Linked DNA regions of Notamacropus eugenii. The protein of the gene in region 2 interacts with the protein of the main gene of each other region in a pairwise test. Links are inferred from orthologs where the notes say so. Each region holds a gene or a part of one and is shown on either strand. Other genes may lie near its edges.

Region 1 (9,957 bases), on a different chromosome or scaffold from region 2:
GGTATAAAGGATAGATGTTATTATCATTATTTTACAGATGAGCAAACATACATAGAAAGGTTAAGTGACTTACTTAACTACCAGGCTAAAAAGTGACAGAGGTGGTATTAGAACCAAGTGTCTTTCCACTCCACCCTAGTAATCTTCCCTTGCAGCTTTACTTAATTAGGGCATCCTAATTAAAATAGCTTCTGTGCTGACATTTCCTACGTTTACATTCAGATTTATCCAGACTTTGTCTCATAAAATGGTCAAACTCAAGGAAATAAGAGTTGCAATTTTATTATACGACGGAAGGGGAGATATGCATACCTGATCAAACCTGGTAGCAAAGAGATTAAGGGAGGTCACTATGCCACCATTGGGTCCAAGTCCATATCTAGACACAAAGTTTAGGAATTCAAATGTTTACAAGCAATCTAATAGAGTTCATACCTAGTATACCACAGATGCGAACATCACTCTGATATCAAAGTTGAAGGAATTAGGCTTTGAAAAACTGCAAACCAAAACCTACTCACAAAAGTTCTATGTGACAATCAAAGGTACAAGGTTTTCTTTCAGTCTTCACTTCATAAAGGATAGGAGAAATGAAAGGATTTTTTCAAAAATCTTCCAAATTTTATAAATTCATTTTGTAATTTATTACAAATCTAGGTTTATTTCAAGGAGGTTGAAATCACTTAAGAAAGGTTTGTAGATCAGCTATAATATCCTTTCCAGATCCACTCTCCATTTTTCTCCTTTAAAAAATTAGTTACTTCACATGTCTGGGCTAGTATTTGTCATAAAATATGAACTACACTGCAAAATCGTCTAAGTTTATAAACATAGGAAAAAAAAGTTAGAAAACACTAACGCAGGTACAGAAAAGGATACTGTTTCATGACTTCCTTATACTTCACTGTGTCCCGAATATCTAAAAAAAATAATAATAATAATCAGACCAACACTTGGGAGACCTCAGAATAGCCCCACCATTTTAGAGCTCTAAAATGGTCTCAAAAGTGTTGTTCCCCCCTCCCCTTTTGTTTTGGTGAAGCAATCAGGGTTAAGTGACTTGCCCAGAGCTAGGATATGTCAAGTGTCTGGGGCTAGATTTGAACTCAGGTTCTCCTGATTCCAGGGCCAGTGTTCTATCCCCACCCACCATCCAGCTGCCCCTCTATTTCTTTTTAAAAGTGAAGAATTTCTTCCTCACCATCAGAATGTGTCCTTATGTCTGTCTCCAATATGTTCCACATCAGAAAGTAAGAATGTGGAAACAGAATGAGTAGAGAAATAGTGTTACATGAAGGAAGAACACAAAGGATAACTTTAGACTATTAATCCTTACTGACATTGTTCCCCTCTCCCCCAACAGGTACTAGCAGTCAGACTTCTAAGCTATTCTAGACAATTTTCTCTTGGACCAATTCATACTGGTTTTCCTTGGGTACAAAGACATAACCATCAAAGTAGTTCATACAGTAACTTGGAAGCTCACAGGACAGAGGAACTCCCAGCTACATGGCAGTGATGTTCCCATGGAATGATGGGCTAGAGTAGGGTTGGGAAACATACAAAATATACAAAAGTGCAAAAATGTACAAAATTTTTCTTTGGGGGCCATAATTCAAAGACACACCACCCAAATATGAACATGACACAGAAATAAGTTTTAAGTTTCCCACCTTCCCAACTACCTCTAAGTAATGAAGATATCAATTCAATTCAGCAACAATTTATTAAATGTATTGAGAATCAAAGATGAGTTTGTTCTTAAGGAGTTATAATCTATACACAAACACAGGCATGATAACTAGTCAAATGTAATATGACAAAGGAAATACAAGGAAGAGATAAAACTTTCAGATTGAGGGTGGGGAGAAGATCAAAGAAAAGGGCAAGACTTCTTGAAGAAGACAGCATGTTAACTTGGTCATGGCAGTCATGAAGTGCCCATGTGCCAGGCACTGTGCTAAGTACTAAGAGTACAAAAAGAGGCAAGAGACAATCCCTGCTCTCCAGGAGCTCATAACATAAGTGGGGAGGGGAGAAATCAAGAACTAGACTTTCCAACAGACACACCTCCTACCACAACATGAGCTAGATCCCACACAAAGCTGAAAGGAACCTCAAAACTCATCTAATGCTGAACTCCTGAACAAAAATCTTCTCAAAATCTCTGAGTGAATGGTCACATTGCCTTCACCTGCAAACCTACAGGTCCCAAAAAAGCCAGTCCCACTTCTGGACAAACTGATTGTTAGGTCATTTGTCCTTAAGAAACCTTAGAAGAACCAATCCCCTCATTTCACAGATGAAGAAACTGTGTCACAGAGAGTTCACATGATTCATCCATGGTCATACAGCTAGAAAGTACCTGAGGTAGGACTGAGAATTTTCTGACTCCAAGTCCAGTGCATTATCAACAATACTATATTGCCTCTAGGGTGTTACAGGGAAAGCTATTTGTAAACCTTAACACACTGGAACCTCCATTTTAAGGAAGTGTCCAGGCCAAGTATGTTCACTCCTTCATTCTTATCTAATCCTGACTCTCTAAAAATTTTTCTATACCATGCCCTCACTTTTCCTTTTCTCCTCACAACCCCTCAGTTTCTTTTTATATATTGTCTTTCCATGTTAGAATGTAAGCTCCTTGAATGCCTTCCATGGCTATCTTTCTTCCTGCCCATATTTGTATTCCTAGCACTAAGGCCTGTGCCTGGTACAAAGACAGTACTTAATAAATGCTTGCTAACTTAAATTGAATTACGTTAAGTCGAAAATTTATTTTTTTGAAACTTCCACTCATTGCTCTGTGGTGGAAAGGCAGCATGACATAATGGAAAAAACCTTCCACTTGAAGTCAAAAAGACCTGGGTTTGAACCAGGTTCTGATACTTCCTAGCTGTAACTCTGGGAAGGAATTTCTTTAAGCTTTATCTGTAAAATACACACAATACTTTTAATATGAACACAGTACAAGGGGCTCAAAGGATCGTACAGTTAGAACTGGAAGGGGCTTTAAGGACCATCAAGTTCAATCCTCTCATTTTACAGATGAAGGAACTGGGTCACAGGGAAGTTATTAAGTGATCTGCCCTGGGTCAGACAACTATAAAGTTATCTGAGACAGGATCTGAATCCAGGATTTCATGATTCCAAGTCATTGCTTTATCCACTATACCCTGTTGTCTCTGTAAGGAAAGTTGTATGTAAACTTTAACACACCAAATAAATCTGAGTTGTTATGTTACTGACTTCTAAGGTCTGATATTTCTTCCACATAACATCGTTTTCCCCTTACATACTCTTCTCCAAGCTAAACCTCTCTACTTTCTTTAAATGACCCACATTTAGTAAAGTCTCCAAAGTCCCCAACTCAGCCAGTTTGCCCTTCTCCAGATACACTCCACTCTATCAATGATCTTCTCAAAAGGTGTTAACTCTGAGCAGCTTACAATACAGTATGAGCCATTTTAAGCAGAATTAATAGAATTTATTAATGAACCTTTCACTAAGCATTTATTATAGAAGTACTTGAAAAAATAACTTTAAGGCATGATCCAGCTTAAAAAGTTTTTCTGAATTAAAATGCATATAAATTTGTACAATTAAGTATATTTTCAAGTAATTATGATCCCATTTTCACTTGGGCCTTATTTCGTGAGGAGTACTCTTTTAAGAAACAGTAGATTCATTTTAGTAGTCTGCCTCTGAAAATAGCTTAAAAGACACTAAGACTCAATAGATGTCAAGGAATAAACTGGAAGGGGCTATGGAATGGAATGGAGAACACAGAACAAGACAATAGAACCTAAATTCCTTAAGGACAGAGAATATTCTGGTTCTGTATCCCAAGGGCGCAGGAATAAGAATAGAAAAAGGGATTGGAACTGTGATGTCATTGGTATAGAGAATTCTCAGATGAGGAAATGAGTTGTATAAATGAAGGGTGGCACCTTGGCAACTAATTAGAGTTGCCAGGAGCACTGAATTTAGATCTTCCTAGTCAAGGGAGGTCTCCATCTACTTACTCCACTTTGCTTCTCCCCTAGCAAATCATTTACTTAACAAATAAATTTTGGACACAGAGAATGAAATAACTTTTCAGTCCAAGTCTTCAACACTGTTGCAAACTAAAATTAGTATCTTGGCTTAATGATTGCCTTCCAATTTATAGCCATCTCATGACCAAAGACAACATAATTCAAGGTTACCCAAAAAGGTGAGAAATAGAATAAAACTATGGCTTGGGAATTAGGAAGCCCTAAAATACAAGAAGCCTAAGTGACACTAGGAGTCAATAACTTAGGGTCACAGATTTAAAGGAGAATTTCTTTTCCAATTTTTTCATTGTCTAGAAAAAGATGAAGTTCTTTAAATGGGAACAAGTGAACTGCGCAAAAATGGAAGGAGGTCCTATGGACAGGGGCAGATTCAGGATCACAGGCAGCCTTCATGATTGAACTCCTCAGGGATGTTAGAGTTGGCACTTAGGCTTTCCACGTAGACTGAATGTCACTTAGTTGTCAGATGTTGATCCATTGGTAGATTGTAAGACTGGATCAATCAATATGCATTAAGCATTTCCACTCATAAAATAAAGCAGTAATTGCCCTCAAGGTGCTATAAAGTACCCCAGGTTTCTTGGGACTCTAAGAACAGTCTGAGCCTCTTAGAACATCTCAGTGTCTACTGTTGAGTTAAATGTCTTCCTCAGTTCCAAATTTATCCCATACATAGCTTATTTATACATAGCTTTTTTTCAAGTCTGCCCTCTTAGACAGTGGGCTCCTCTTGAGTAGGAGCATTGATCGTTTTTTAAATGTCTTTTACCTTTTTTTCTTGTATCCCCAGCACTTGGCACGGTGCCTGTCACATAGACGGCACTTAAATGCTTACTGACTGACTGTTGCAAAGCGGACCTTTTGTCCCTTCAGTTTCCCAAATCTTAGTAAATGACGTCATAACATCCCCAGCTGAGCGAACAGGGCAGCCGGACAAGAGGAAGAGGGGGAGGCCGGGAGGGACCGCGCCAGGTTGGGACGCTGGGGCGGTGTAAGAGTGGTCGAAGAGCCCACAGGCCCGGCTCGACCCGCAACTTCTTAGGGCTCCTCCACACGTCGGGCCCACGCTCGCGCCGACTCACCGATGTTGGCTGGGAAGGGGACCTCGTGCACCGCAGGGTCCAGGTTGATCACGTAGGGCGGCGAGCCCAGGCCGTGAAGGTATCCCGTGAGCCTCTGCGGGAGACAAGGCGAAGGTGAAGGTGCTCCCGCCATCCCACCACCGCTACCCCGGGCAGCCGCGGCCAGGGCCCCTCCAGCAAGAGCCTCTCCCCACCTCACCTGTACGAATGTCGTCTTCCCAGACCCCGCCATCCCCAGCACCAGGAGACACACTGGAGGCCGAGGCCGGGGCTGGGGGCCCTCTGCCTCCGGAGCCGCCGCTCCCGCAGAAGAATCCATCTTGCCAGTGTGTACGGCAGCGCCTGCGCAGAGCGATGCTGGAAATGAGACTGAGTAGCAGTCCGACGGCAAGCGGGCAAAACGGAGCGGAATCAGAGTTTAGGTCGGATCTGGAGACAGGGCCAGGGACCCAGGAGGAGGAGGCAGGGTCAAGGGCGGAACCTGCCGTGGAAATTGAGAGTAGGGCGGAATCGAAGGCGGGGCCAAGGGCGGAACCTGCCGCGGAAATTGAGAGTAGGGCGGAATCGAAGGCGGGGCCAAGGGCGGGGCCAAAGGCAAGGCCTGCACTGAGATTTGAGAGTAGGGCTGAATCGAAGGCGGGGCCAAGGGCGGAACCTGCCGTGGAAATTGAGAATAGGGCGGAATCGAAGGCGGGGACAAGGGCGGGGCCAAAGGCAGGGCTTGCACTGAGATTTGAGAGTAGGGCGGAATCGAAGGCGGGTCCAAGGGCGGGGCCAAAGGCAGGGCCTGCACTGGGATTTGAGAGTAGGGCGGAATCGAAGGCGGGGCCAAGGGCGGGGCCAAAGGCAGGGCCTGCACTGGGATTTGAGAGTAGAGTAGAATCAGAGGCGGGGGCAGAAGAGGGGGCGGAGCCTGCACAGGGACCTGAGACTGGGGTGGAATATGAAGAAGAATCCAATCACCTGGGTTCCGTCGCTGGTCCCAGGACTGGTTTTGAAGACGTTCTGAGGCTCGAATGGATCAAGGATATTCCAGAGCGGGTGCAAAAAGAAAGCACAGGTGAAGAAGTGGTGAGGAGAGCGGGCGACAAAAATGGCGAAAAGTTGGGTTCGACTCAACTGGGGAAGGACTGGGAAGTGGACGAGAATTCTAAGTCCTCCAGAGAAGAAAGTGTTCGGGAAGAGAGCGACGACACCCTGAGCTCCGAGGCTCAGCCTGCCACAGGCAGGAAAGAAGTGGGCAAAGGCGACTACTGTGTCCTCTGTACGGTGCCCAAGACCCCAGACCAGGACAAGAGCTCTCGGTCCTCTGGCCCTGGGAAAACTCAGAAGTGGTCACCGGACGTCAATCTTCCTGTAGGGTTGTACGTCGACACTTGTTGGGTTCCCAGAAGCTTCCACAGGGAGGAACTCATGAGACTCAATCTTTCGCGTGGAGTTCCTTCCCTGGCCTCCACCCCCGCTACCCTTGTGCACCGTGTCCAGCAGTTTTGGGATCAGCAACATTTGAGTACTCGTAACAGGTGAGCTCAAAAAGGGTCGGAGGGAGCAAAGGAGGAAAACCTCTCCAAAGCAGAGACCCATGGGGGGAAAGGGTTAGCTTAGCAAGAGATGGCAAAGGATAAACAGCTAAAAAAAAAAAAAAAAAGATTCTCCCAACTTTTCTCCCAGTTCTTGTACTGCACTGGACAGAGCATCTACCTCAGGTAAGGAGTTGGAAGGAACCTCAGAGACTTTCTTGAGCAACCCACATGTGAGACAAAAACCCCCTCCACAACATGCCCCGAAATAGCCTTTGCTAGAGGACTTCCAGAGAAAGGGAATCTTCCAGTCAATCAACAAACATTTAGTAAGCACCTACCAGGCACTGTACTAGGATCTGGGGACAGAAATGCAAATAAGGTTTTAAAAACTCCTTTTGACTTTATATTTCCTTGTCAGCCTCAGAACATCCAGAGTTTTGCCATTACTGAATCTATTGTTACAAAACAGTGGCATGCTTTTGTACACCTCTTCTGTAATCTGCCCTACCTCCTTGGATTTTGTCTATACCCAGAGGTCAAAAGCTGTGATAGATCCTACCAAGCTGGAAAGAGTAGATTAGTTGGGAAATATTGTCACCCTAGGACCAGCCTAGCTAAGATCAAAAAAGCTTCATTACTTAGAGTTTGGCTACTGAATAATAAATTTTTTGACCACAGAAATTCATAAAGTGATTTATAAAGGCACATTAGGAGTTGCAGTCTGTCAATAAGAGGAGAACATACAATGAAATCATATGTCTTTTGAACATAACAGCTCACACTGTCCTTTGAATTTTTGAGAGTTGCTTAGGAGAGGTGAAAGAGTTGGTGGCTTGAGCCAATGAAGGATGACACACTGAGTGTCATGAAAGATAAGTGACATCAAGGTAATAATAATAGCTCACAAATAATCATAAAGGTATAATGGAGAAATAACATATTTCTGGCTGCTTTTCCCCCAGATTTTTTCGGGGTCCCAGAATGATATGGCAGAATCTGAATCTGAATCGTAATATTGCTTTGCTAATGGGTAGCAAAAAGCTACAGCAGTTTTTAAAGTCACAGGAGGAGTTGGAGAAAAGGGTGCAGAAAGAGCTGGCAATAAAGGCACAGGTAGAGGAGAAAATGATCCAGCTGAATGGGGAACTGATGCAAACACGAGCCCGGAGGAGGCAGCTCATAGATGATCATTGCCACATGCAAGCTGAAATCCAACCATTCTTAGGTGACAGCCCTGTCCTAATGGGATATGTACCTGATCCAACCAAGAAAAAACAGGTAGCACCAATTAAGGTATGGGATCAACAGACACAACAGTTGGAGCAGATACAATGTCAAAGGCAGGAGCTGGTCTCCAGTTATGAGTCCCATATATCATCACTCCGGGAAGAGCTGCTGCGACAAGAAGAGACCCAAGCCCAACTGAAAAAGAAGATTCAAGCATTAAATGCTAGGAGGACAATAAAGATTACCCAGGAGGAGCTTATCAAATCACTGCAAATGGAAAAACCAAGAGTCCAGAAGGAGGCCAAAGCACACCTTCATAGTGTACAAGGTGATCTGGTTAAAGAGTGGAGAGCACTGAAGCATCAGCTATCTGATGTAGAGCTTTTGCTGGGGAAAAGTATGATGGGAAAGCACAACCATATCCTGGAACATGCAGCAGACAAATCTATCCTTGATTTCACCTGGCAACTGCAAAATGAGAATGAACAATTGCATAAGGAAATGGTACGGCTTATTCAAGAAGCCCAGCAGCTAGAGGCCCAGCGGACCAGGCTTCGAAAGCAGAAGCAGCAACTACAGCTAGAGCAGTGTTGCCTGGAGAGCATCAAAGAAGGGAGACGGCGTCAACTACTAAGAGCTGTTCCCTGTCAGAAAGGACAAAGCAGTTCAAAGACCACGCTGGCCCCTCTCCCAGGTACCAAACCAAGGATGAATTCATCCTAATTAGTGAGAATATTTATTATACATCCACCTAAGCAGATTTTGTTAGTTGCTGTACAAAGTAACTTAAGTGATCTCTGCCTCTAGGATCTTGTAATTTTAAATGGAAAAAAAATGAAATGAATATGAAATAGAAGGCTATCAGTCAGACTGTAGAAAGAGGGATGAAACACAACAGTAGAAAAGTTCATATTTAAAAACCTATTTCTGGTAAAAAAAAATCTATGGAAAATGACTTAAGATAATAGCTTATTGAAAGTATTAAAAGGAGAGTTAAGTTCACTTAGCACTTCTTCTGTAGTGCTGTTTAACATTTAATTCCTGGAATTATCTATACCTCCCTCACTCACTTCATCCTCCGATGATAAAACAGAATCCATCTCAGTATCTTCCAGCATCTCAACATTTAACTGACTGGCTTCCCTGGCTGCTTACCAGATATTCTCTATAGTGGACCGGAAAAGGAGCAAGTCAAGCTATGAATGTTTGCTTTCTTTGGGACTCAATGTTAACTTTCTTCAAAGGATAAACTCTTTTTGATGGCAACCATTTACATTGACTCTACAGTGGTAACACAGACATTCCAAAATCTCAGATTAGCAAATACAGGTAGGTCCCTTTTTGTTGCCTTGGTCTTTGCACCCATTTGTTTGAACCATTGCAACATAAACAGGGAGGTACAGGCCCCAGTCCAACTGCTATTGACAAATCTGAGACTTAAGGGTAGGGGAAAGAGATGTTAAAGTTGTGTGCCAAAGACCTAGTAATTGCCTTTTTGCTTTTGGTTTGTCTTGGTGTTCCAATGAAGCATGAAGTACTCTTGTAAATATGTCAAGGGGGCCCTGTAGTAGTGAAGGACAAGAAAGTGAGCTAATAGAATTCCCTATTTCCTGGTAGCATTGTTTTGATTTGATACTAAGTAGCTTATGTTTACTTCTGAATTTTACTGAGAATGGTAGAAGGCAAAAAGATATGTTAAGGATTAGGTTTTTTTAACAGCTTTGCAGTGGAAGAAATAATCATCATTGTAACACCCTAGTCAATGGAATGATTCAGGATACCTATTCTACAGGCACATTTGAAAGAAAAAGAAGCTTATTTCAGTTCAGATTTCTCTGGAACAACTTTTGAAAGAGAAAATCACCATCCAAATCATCCTTAACTCTTCACCCTTATGAATTCCAAGGTTATTATAAGATAAATTCTAGCCCAATATATTGGTATAGAATTATATTTTCACATGTCATATATACATTTATGTGTACTGAGGTCCTCATCTAGATATGTTTTAGATTGCATTCCTATTTTTTAGGACTAGGAGCATAGTTTTACTGTTTCAGATTAGAG
Region 2 (10,030 bases):
TGGGAGGATGGTAGTGTCCTCAATAGTAATAGGTAAGTATTTACTTTGGTAGCACTTATACTAAAATTGGAACGATACAGAGATAAGCATGGCCTCTATACAAGGATGACATGTAAATTTATGAAGCCTTCTATGTTAAAAAAAAAAAGCAATAGGGAAGTTTGAAAGAGGATAGATAGGGTTTGGAGGAAAAGCTAAGGAGTTCAGTTTTGGACACTTTGAGTTTGAGATATTGGATTGGATATCCAGTTCAAGATGTTCAAAAGGCAGTTAATGATGGGAACCTGGAGTTCAGAAGAGAAATTAGGGCTAGATATATAGAGGTAGGAATCCTCTACATTGTCAAGATTTTAAGAGACACTCTATTTTCCAGAGCTAAGGCCCAGAAAGCAGGCTGTGCCCTGAGCTTGGCATAGCAACAATCCTTTGTGCTCACTCTCTGGATGATCCCACCCTCTGGCAAAATGTATTGTTTTGACCAGCACCAGGAATCCATTGAAGAATTTATGATTTTCATATTAATCAATATCAATCACCTCCCCTGACACTTTAACAATTCCTGTGCTTATGTAACCACTGAGTGAACCGAACCAGATGCTGAACTCCTGTTCCTGCCATGTTAACTCTGGTTCTATACCCCACTGAGTGATCACAAAGCTCAACAACTCCAATAATTTGGGAACTGTTTACGTAGGACCCAAGAACTCCTGTATTGTCCCAAGAAATGCCAACTGTGGAAACTGTTTACTCAAGACATAAGAATAACTGTGTTGTGATTCTACTATAAAGTCATAAGTCCTCCTCAGGAGGACATTGGTTTGCAAACCTGATTTTCTCACTTTGAAATTAAACCATTATTTGAATCCTGACTCACCTGCTTCTGGCCTGCTTTGTTTAGCTCCAGCCACTCACAGGTTAGAGATGGGTCCAGTTCAGATTACATAATCACTTCTGTGACTTAGGCAGACTCTAGGTTTTCAGTCTCTCCCTACCTAACCAGTCTGGTGGTACACCACTCAAATCTAACCTCAGTGTCACTTCTAGGAACTAGGATAAGGTTTAGTGCCACTTCTAGCCCTCAGAGGTCCTGGGGTTACTCCTTTGCATCCCCAAAGCCCTTTTTTAACCAAGGGCTACCAGTGTTCCTATTGCGGAGAGCCATGTTTCCTCCCAGATGCCTTTTAAAAAGAGATCCCGGCTCCGAACCCACAACCCATAGAACGGTTACAGGGAAGTAACTCACGGCGAATTCTGCACCCAGAGGCCACAGAATATTGGAGCGAGGGAGATTTCTGTTCCGGAGAGACCTGCAAACCTCTCGCGGGGGGTCCTTCGCGCTGTGGACTGGGTGCCGGGACTGGGAGCTGAGGGCAGCCCTGCAGCGGCCGCGACACCATGAAGAAAAGATCCGAGCAGGCTACGGGGACGGGCTCTCCAGCGGCCACACAAGTCCCTCCACCCACAGGTGACGGGGGTCAGTGAGAGAGTCTCTTTGGCGGGTCGAGAGGGGAGTGGGGTGCCACCATGACTCGGGCCCCCCCGGGAGGTAGAAGCTGAGAGGCGGCTGCAGACCAGGGCTCCCCAAGCAGGCGGGAGCCTGGATCCATTGTAGAATGTCTGTGCATAAACCCCCTGAGGGAACTGAGCCTGAGAGGCGGCCCTGCCCCGACCTGACCACCTGAACTTCATCTCACACTGAACAGCAGCCCTGCCCCCGCCAAAAGCCCTAAGGCTGGAAGCAGCATTTGAATCTCAGTCCCCAAACGCTGGCTGGGAGGACCAGGAGGCGAGGTGGGTGTGAGGAGAATATTCAGAGGTCAAGTCACTGGCTGGGAAAATGCCCAGAAAAGGGAAAAGAAATAAGACTATTGAAGGCTACTTTCTTGGAGAACAGGCATTTCCTCCCTTCCTCTCTGATGAGGAAGAACAATGCTTACCATCAGGCAAAGACACAGAAATCAAGGCTTCTGTGTCCCAGCCCACCCAATGGGCTCAGGCCATGGAAGAGCTCAAAAAGAATTTTGAAAACCAAGTTAGAGAGGTGGAGGAAAAGCTGGGAAGAGAAATGAGAGACATGAAGTCAAAGCATGAACAGCAGATCAGCTCCCTGTTAAAGGAGACCCAAAAAAATGTTGAAGAAAATAACACCTTGAAAACTAGCCTAACTCAATTGGCAAAAGAGGTTCAAAAAGCCAATGAGGAGAAGAATGCTTTCAAAAGCAGAATTAGCCAAATGGAAAAGGAGATTCAAAAGCTCACTGAAGAAAATAGTTCTTTCAAAATTAGAATGGCACAGATGGAGGCTAATGACTTTATGAGAAAGCAAGATATCACAGAACAAAGAGAGAAGAATGGAAAAATGGAAGATAATGTGAAATATCTCATTGGAAAAACAACTGACCTGGAAAATAGATCCAGGAGAGACAATTTAAAAATTATGGGACTACCTGAAAGCCATGATCAAAAGAAGAGCCTAGACATCATCTTTCATGAAATTATCAAGGAAAACTTCCCTGAGATTCTAGAACCAGAGGGCAAAATAAATATTCAAGGAATCCACAGAACACCGCCTGAAAGAGATCCAAAAAGAGAAACTTCTAGGAACATTGTGGCCAAATTCCAGAGTTCCCAGGTCGAGGAGAAAATATTGCAAGCAGCTAGAAAGAAACAATTCAAGTATTGTGGAAATACAATCAGGATAACACAAGATCTAGCAGCCTCTACATTAAGGGATCGAAGGGCATGGAATAGGATATTCCAGAAGTCAAAGGAATTAGGACTAAAACCAAGAATCACCTACCCAGCAAAACTGAGTATAATACTTCAGGGGAAAAATTGGTCTTTCAATGAAATAGAGGATTTTCAAGCATTCTTGATGAAAAGACCAGAGCTGAAAAGAAAATTTGACTTTCAAACACAAGAATGAAGAGAACCATGAAAAGGTGAACAGCAAAGAGAAGTCATAAGGGACTTACTAAAGTTGAACTGTTTACATTCCTACATGGAAAGACAATATTTGTAACTCTTGAAACATTTCAGTATCTGGGTACTGGGTGGGATCACACACACACACACACATGCACACATACATAGAGACAGAGTGCACAGAGTGAATTGAAGAGGATGGGATCATATCTTAAAAAAAAATGAAATCAAGCAGTGAGAGAGAAATATATTGGGAGGAGAAAAGGAGGAATTGAATGGGGCAAATTATCTCTCATAAAAGAGGCAAGCAAAAGACTCATTAGTGGAGGGATAAAGAGGGGAGGTGAGAGAAAAACATGAAGTCTACTCTCATCACATTCCACTAAAGGAAAGAATAAAATGCACACTCATTTTGGTAGGAAAACCTATCTCACAATACAGGAAAGTGGGGGACAAGGGGACAAGCAGGGTGGGGGGGATGATAGAAGGGAGGGCATGGGGAGGAGAGTGCAATTCGAGGTTGACACTCATGGGGAGGGATAGGATCAAAAGAGAATAGAAGTAATGGGGGACAGGATAGGATGGAGGGCAATATAGTTAGTCCTATACAACACAACTATTATGGAAGTCATTTGCAAAACTACACAGATTTGGCCTATATTGAATTGCTTGCCTTCCAAAGGGAAGGGGTGGAGAGGGAGGGAGGTAAAGAAGTAGGAACTCAAAGTGTTAGGATCAACTGTCGAGTAATGTTCTTGCCATTAGGAAATAAGAAATACAGGTAAAGGGGTATAGAAAGCTATCTGGCCCTACAGGACAAAAGAGAAGACGGAGACAAGGGCAGAGAGGGATGATAGAAGAGAGAGCAGATTGGTCATAGAGGCAATTAGAATGCTTGGTGTTTGGGGGGGGGGGGATAAAAGGGGACAAAATTTGTAACCCAAAATTTTGTGAAAATGAATGTTAAAAGTTAAATAAATAAATTTAATTAAAAAAAAAAGGGATCCCCCCCAAGAAAGGATCCCAGATCCCTTTTAATCTGAATGATTAGGGCAGCTACAAGAGAAGCCCCTTGCTTTTGGTTCCTTGGGATTTATTCCTCTTGGCCAGCCCTAGAAATCAAGACAAATCAGCCCTAGAAATCAAGACAAATCAGCCCCTGCTAATGACTAATGACTTCTAGTGGGAGTTGTAGTCCATAGACTCTGTCAGTCAGGCTTACTCAGCCTATCCTTCAATTAATCATCCTCAGCTAGTATTATCCTGCTAGTCTTCTGTTTCTCCTACAAGAGCAATTCACAGGACACTCAAGAGCTAATGGCATAGGTCACCAGTGGACGGGCCCAGATCTGGTGTCATTTGTCTCAGGACAGTGCTGATGACAGTGAGCAGACACAATGGTCAGCTTTCACCCAAGTGGGCAAGATCAGTCCTCACCTTGGTGAAATTTTGGGCTCCCCAAAGCATGGAAATACTAGTGTACACATCAAGATATCCACTCCAACCACTAGCCAGTCCTGGGAAAGTCCAGAATTGTTTTTGCTTAAGTTAGCTAGTAGTCACAGGGCAGCCCCAGAGCAAATGAAAAGCATGAACGGTGTGGGGGCAGGCTGAGCAGGGCAGACAACTACTTCTTTACCCCAGAGGGTGATATTGCTGTGACCAGTTACTTTCATTCTCTTATACTTTTAGAGTTTTAAACATCACAATTGGGTGATGGGGTGGGAGAGTGTGAAAAAGGAGACTGGCCTGGCCTGTGTTTATTGTACATAGCACATAGTGGAGGTCCAAGACATGGCTTTTCAGGGCCTCTTCATTTTACATATGCATATATGTTTTGCATGACTACCCATATATAACCTATATGGACTTGCTTGCCTTCTCAAAGAGGAGGGCTGGGGAGGCAGGAAGGGAGAGAAATTGAAATTAAAGTTTTAAAAACAAATGTTAAAAAATTGCTGTTCACATGTAACTGGGGAAAAATTAGATACTAAAATACAAAAAAAAAATCAAACACCAAAGCTCATTATATATTAACTTATTTTATCCTTCCAACAACCTTGCAAGACTGTCACTATTATCCTCATTTTACAGAGGAGGAAACTGAGGCTGTAAAAAGTTAAGTGACTTGCCCAGGGTGGTACAGCTAATGAGTGTCAGAGGCTGAATTAGAATAACTCATCTTCCTAACTTTCAGTCTAGGACTCCAGTCACTGAGAAGTTATAGTAGCCTCAGATATTGTCTGAAGCCCTGGGTTCTGCCCAAGAAAGGGGGACTCTATCCCAAAGGGGTGACTGCTCCCCAGGGAGCTGCTTAAGACAACCTCGCTCTCTGCCCTGCCCCGCCCCACGGGTCCACTAGGACCACTTCAAACTTTACGCAGCCCCCAAATGGACAAGTGGAATCTCCCTTGCTTTGCCCCTCCCCCAGGAGGCTGAGGGGGACTGCTCAACATGCCCCGCCCCCATAGGTTAATTGGTACCGCCCCCCTCGTGGTCCCTCTACACAGGGCACCTCCATAATATCCCCTCACTAAATGGCTGTTTGGGACACCCCATCATGTCTCCCCACAGGATTAAATAGTACTGCCCCCCATCGTGCCCCGCTTCCACTAAGCTGCAGAGCTCTCCTCCGACATGCCCCGCCCCCACAAACTATTTGGACCGCCCCCATTCGGCCCCGCCCCCATGTTATCGATACCGCCCCTATTGTACCCTTTCCCCCGAGGGCTGTTGGGAGACCCCCTATTTTGTGCCTCCACAGGTTAAATGTTACTGCCCCCGTTATGTCCCGCCCCCACAAGGCTGCTGGGATGGCTCCCATTTTGTCCCCACACTGGAGTAAATGGTATCGCCCCCGTTATGTCCCGCCCCCAAAAGGCTGCTGGGACTGCTCCCATAGGTTATTGAGGACCCCCACCACCGTGTTCCGCTCCTATAGGATAATTAGGACCACCTCCATCGGCCCGTGCCCCCCCCCCGCTCCCGCAAGGTTATTGGGACCGCCTCCATTGCACCCCTTCTCTAAAGGGCAGTTGAGCTGTCCCTATTATGCCCCATCAGGGTGGAGACCGCTTCTACTTTCCCCTCCCCCACGAGATAGCTCGTTCCCGCCTCATTGTGACTCCGCCCCCCTAGAGGGTTGCTGGGACCGCCTTCCTCCCAGCCCCGCCCCAGAAAAATCTCCTCAGCATCTCAGCGCCACGGCACCTGGGCAAACGACGCCTCAAGATGTTCCGCTGGCCTTTCAAGGGCCCAAACACCCCTACATCCCCAATGTCAGGCCCCGGCGACTCACATCAGAGGGGGAACCCGTTCCGTAAGTACAGCGGTACCGGGTAACCTTCATCACATTTTTCACTAGCACAGAATCGGGAGGTGGGAGGGCAGGCTCACGCGGGCTCCCTTCCCCCCCTTTTTTTCTTTTCTTTTCTTTTTTTCTCTTTTCTTTTTCTTTTTTTTACCTCGATCTCGAGGGTTTTTGTGGCGACAGCCTCAGCCCAGCCGGCTAACTCGTCGTCGCCATGCCCCCTCAGCCCCCCCTCAGCCGTTTCTCAGACTGCCAGCCCGCGCCTAGCCCAAAGGCCCTGACCGTTACCACTTTTCGGACCGTAAGAAATAGGGGGACGGATCGCCATTACCTGCCACGTGCGGTCTGTGTGAATGTCTTCCTCAGCTTTTTTCTGGAGGTTCCCTCCTTTAAGTCGGTTAGTGAGACTCGGTGGAAATTCTAATTTGTCCTCAAGCAAAAAAGAAGTCCGAGAGCTCAGCTTCTTTCTGTTGTCATGGCAACTACTGGCCTCTTTTCTCCCTCGTACCCGCTAACTTTTTGCACCAATTAGAAGAGCCTACCCTCTAGAGCGATGCAAGAAGCAGCCCATAGGACGTCCGGACCAATGGGAAACCTTCCCCCCTCCACCCCTCCAGTTCGCTGCCTCTGCTACAGGCAGCACCGCTTCCCTCCTAACCGACGCAAGACGCTGGCACGCTGTTGCGCAGGCGCACCTGGTTTGAACTTCACTTCCGGGCCGGGAGCGGGAGCGGCAGCCATTGTGGTGAGTTCGTATCGGCTTGGGGTTCTTTTACCTTTACTTTTCTGTTATTTTCCAACGGGAGTTGACAGATTTCCTTTCCCTGTACCTGGGTACTTCTGCCCACGCCCGAAGGCTGCATTAACTGCAAACAAAGCATTCTGGTTGTGAGCCGAAAGGCCGGGCACAGGGACCTTAGCGGAGCACCTGGGGGCTGCTTTTGTCGCCACCCGGCTTCTCTTTCTCCACGTGTCTGAGTCTCCTTCCTCAGTACAAGGAGTGGCGGGGGTCCTGCTTAGGAGGCGCCCTCTCTGACCCCTTTTTGTATCTTTGGACGAAAAAGACCAGCTCGTGGAGATAAAGTGTAGCCCTGCAGCACGCTGTCACTAAAGCAAAGTCTCACGAGCCTAAAGTTCCAAGTTTCCCGCCTTTTTATACTTCACTATGGCAGCTCTGTCCTTTCGCCTCTGAAATATCTTTGCTTGTTCTGTGCTTTTGGTACTTGGGGACTATTTTCTGATAAATACATAGAGAAATAGCGTTGACTTTCATTTTCTTGCGTGTCTGCGATTTGCTGAGGTGATTTTTTTTGCATTGTGTTTGTCAGTGACTTATCAGTAATAGTTGCTATTTAGAGTTTGCCTAAGTTTCGCACTGGAGTTCCTTAACCCATGTGGCAATCAATATTTAATACCTTTTATGAGTGTATATAGTAAGATCAACATGTATATTTTATTTGTAGACCAGCTGAGTTTCTTTTCTGCTGCCCACGCTGCCTACTTTTTCTCGTGTTAAGTGCCTTCCTTAATGGGGAAAGGGAAAGTCATCAGCATTTAAGGTTTTACCTTAGTAGTCTGGTACAGTGCTAAGAAGCTGAACCTCTCCGGAGTAATTCAGCCTTCATCAACCATAATAAAAAGTTTGCTGGAGCAGGAGGCCATTGAAGCTATTGGGGAAAATAGAAATTTTTTTTTTCTCAAAATTTCTTCTATGAGCTATTATCATAGAGAGGAAGTTTGGCATAGTGGATAGAAAGCTGGCTTCGCAGCTAGGGAGACCTGAGTTGAAATTCTTCCTCTGACACTTACTGGATGTATGACCTAACTTCTCAGCCCTCGGAGCTCTCTTGCTCTTAAGTTCTATAGAGCCCTGGGAGTTCCCGGCTCAAAATTCTTATCATAATAATAGTAAAATGTCTAAAGTTCTAATACAGTAAATATTCATAGATATACCCCAGGTAAATAAAAGCTCTTTGGGTGAGTCTTCAATAATTTTTAAGAGTTGTAAAGAGGCCCTGAGACCCTTTCGTTTGAGATTCGCTTCTCCAAGCAGTTTCTCTAGGACTCTTTAAGTTACAAAGAATGTGCCCACCAGCCATTTGTAGAGGGAGTTTACTCACCGAGTTCCCCAGTAATAGTGAAATCACGGGTTACAACCCCATCCCTACCTATTACCTTGCATAATCTGCTCTTTGTTTCTGTAAATTGGTGAAGCTTGCAGAGAGTAATATATAAATAAAATCTGAATTAGCACTCCGCAACTCTTCTATTCTTCTGACTGACCAAAAATTATAGTACCTGGGCTAGTGAACTCACTATTTTGTGTAGTGCCATCCATCAGATGTGCGTCTCACACACTGAAGGATGATAACTCACATGTACATGGTACTTTAAGGTTTACAAAGCATTGTCCTTCCAATCCTATGAGGCTGTTGTTTATGGCTAACCCCACTTTACAGATGAGGAAGCTGACCATGGTCAGCTAGTAAGTGTGAGAACCATGTATTGGAACTTGGTTAATTTGACTCCTAGTCTTACACTCTTTCCACTATGCTTGCCTCTCATGATATTTGTGGATTCAAAATAACTGGATATGATTACATGATTGCCACTTTTTATCAGAAGACATAATATGTATTTCCCAGAAACAACCTGGCCAGTTTGCTCTGGTGAGACAGTCTTAAAGAAGAAAACAGGTGCCCCGCTCAAACCAAGCTACAGAACGGCACAGACCTTATTGAAAACACCCTGTGGATGCATTAGACTTACACAACTACATAAAATATGTTCCCTTTGGTGGTGTATCATTTGACATATAGCTGCAACTAACAGACCAGGTGTGAGTGGCCAAAAAGTATCTCTGATTTCAATGAACTTTGGTTCTAGATGCTATACCAGCTTGTCAGTTGTTGATTACTGTGTGACTGAGACCTGACATTGGTGCTGTTGCCTAGAGGATCTAGAAATGTATGTGTCTTTTTCCAAGATTATGGTACTTGATGACCTGGTGGTGTGCTGAGTTCTCCCAAGCTAATGCTTTGCTTGGAAACTCCCCTTGGAATGTAAGTTGCATGCCCATAGGAGGATTCCTATTTTACACATTTAAAAGTAGTCTGCTGTTCTTCAGCCTCAGCAGTTTGGAATTCTGGGTAGCTAGCTCAATAAAATTCTGTCTGTGTCTTGAAGGCAAGTCTGTTTGATACTTTGTTCCATCTAGCACATTCAGGTGAGCCCAAAACCAGCCTGGCTTTTTTTGGGGGGAGGGGGTAAGTTGGGTAGGATAGGGTGATAGGAAAGAGAACTTAGTGATTAAAATACAAAGAGAAATAAGAAGGGACAGAAGGGATGTGTTTCCTCTCTTCCTGAAGTTAGGTAGTTTTAGGGAAGTGAGTCTTTGGCAGGGCCTCTGTAAATGTACCTGGGAAGCATCAGTTAAGAAGAATGGCTTTACTGGGGGATGCAAAATGATCTGTCCTGGATGGTAATTTCAGATTGATTTCAGCTGCCAGTAGAGTTATCAGCTCCTTGAGGGCAAAGACTCTCTCTTCACACTTTCGTATTTATATAGTATTTGTAACCCCATTGCCTATGGCATAGTGTTAGAATTGAGTAGGTGCTTGTTAATTGATTGCTACAACTTTTCATATAAGTATTTAAAAACCACTAAACTTGATTGCCTACTGTTTGCTTGAATACCCAACTTCCTGTTGTGGAAACTTTGTCCTGGGGAGATTGCAGCCTTTTCTGTCTTCGCTTGTGAAATGCAGAAGTTAAGGGCTTTCCCAGGGGGTCAGA

What was found. The genes of interacting proteins can lie anywhere in the genome.
Region 1: the proteins of NUP62 (region 2) and CCDC121 interact in binary tests that used the Homo sapiens proteins (3 or more experiments, as listed by UniProt). The two-hybrid records come from large-scale screens. The link is inferred for Notamacropus eugenii from reciprocal best matches to the Homo sapiens genes NUP62 and CCDC121.

The regions. Positions count from the first base shown.
Region 1 is NC_092872.1:528,877,897-528,887,853, reverse strand, and holds the start of CCDC121 (coiled-coil domain-containing protein 121), read left to right. Parts: upstream 1-6,042; 5' UTR 6,043-6,751; coding exon 6,752-6,846; intron 6,847-7,625; coding exon 7,626-8,584; intron 8,585-9,957. Other genes in the region: GPN1 (GPN-loop GTPase 1), read right to left, coding at 313-379, 880-919, 5,141-5,234, 5,340-5,459.
Region 2 is NC_092879.1:31,949,716-31,959,745, forward strand, and holds the start of NUP62 (nuclear pore glycoprotein p62), read left to right. Parts: upstream 1-6,042; 5' UTR 6,043-6,156; coding exon 6,157-6,244; intron 6,245-6,566; exon of another isoform or gene 6,567-6,702; intron 6,703-6,788; coding exon of another isoform or gene 6,789-6,852; coding exon 6,853-6,984; intron 6,985-10,030. UniProt on the Homo sapiens protein: Essential component of the nuclear pore complex. The N-terminal is probably involved in nucleocytoplasmic transport.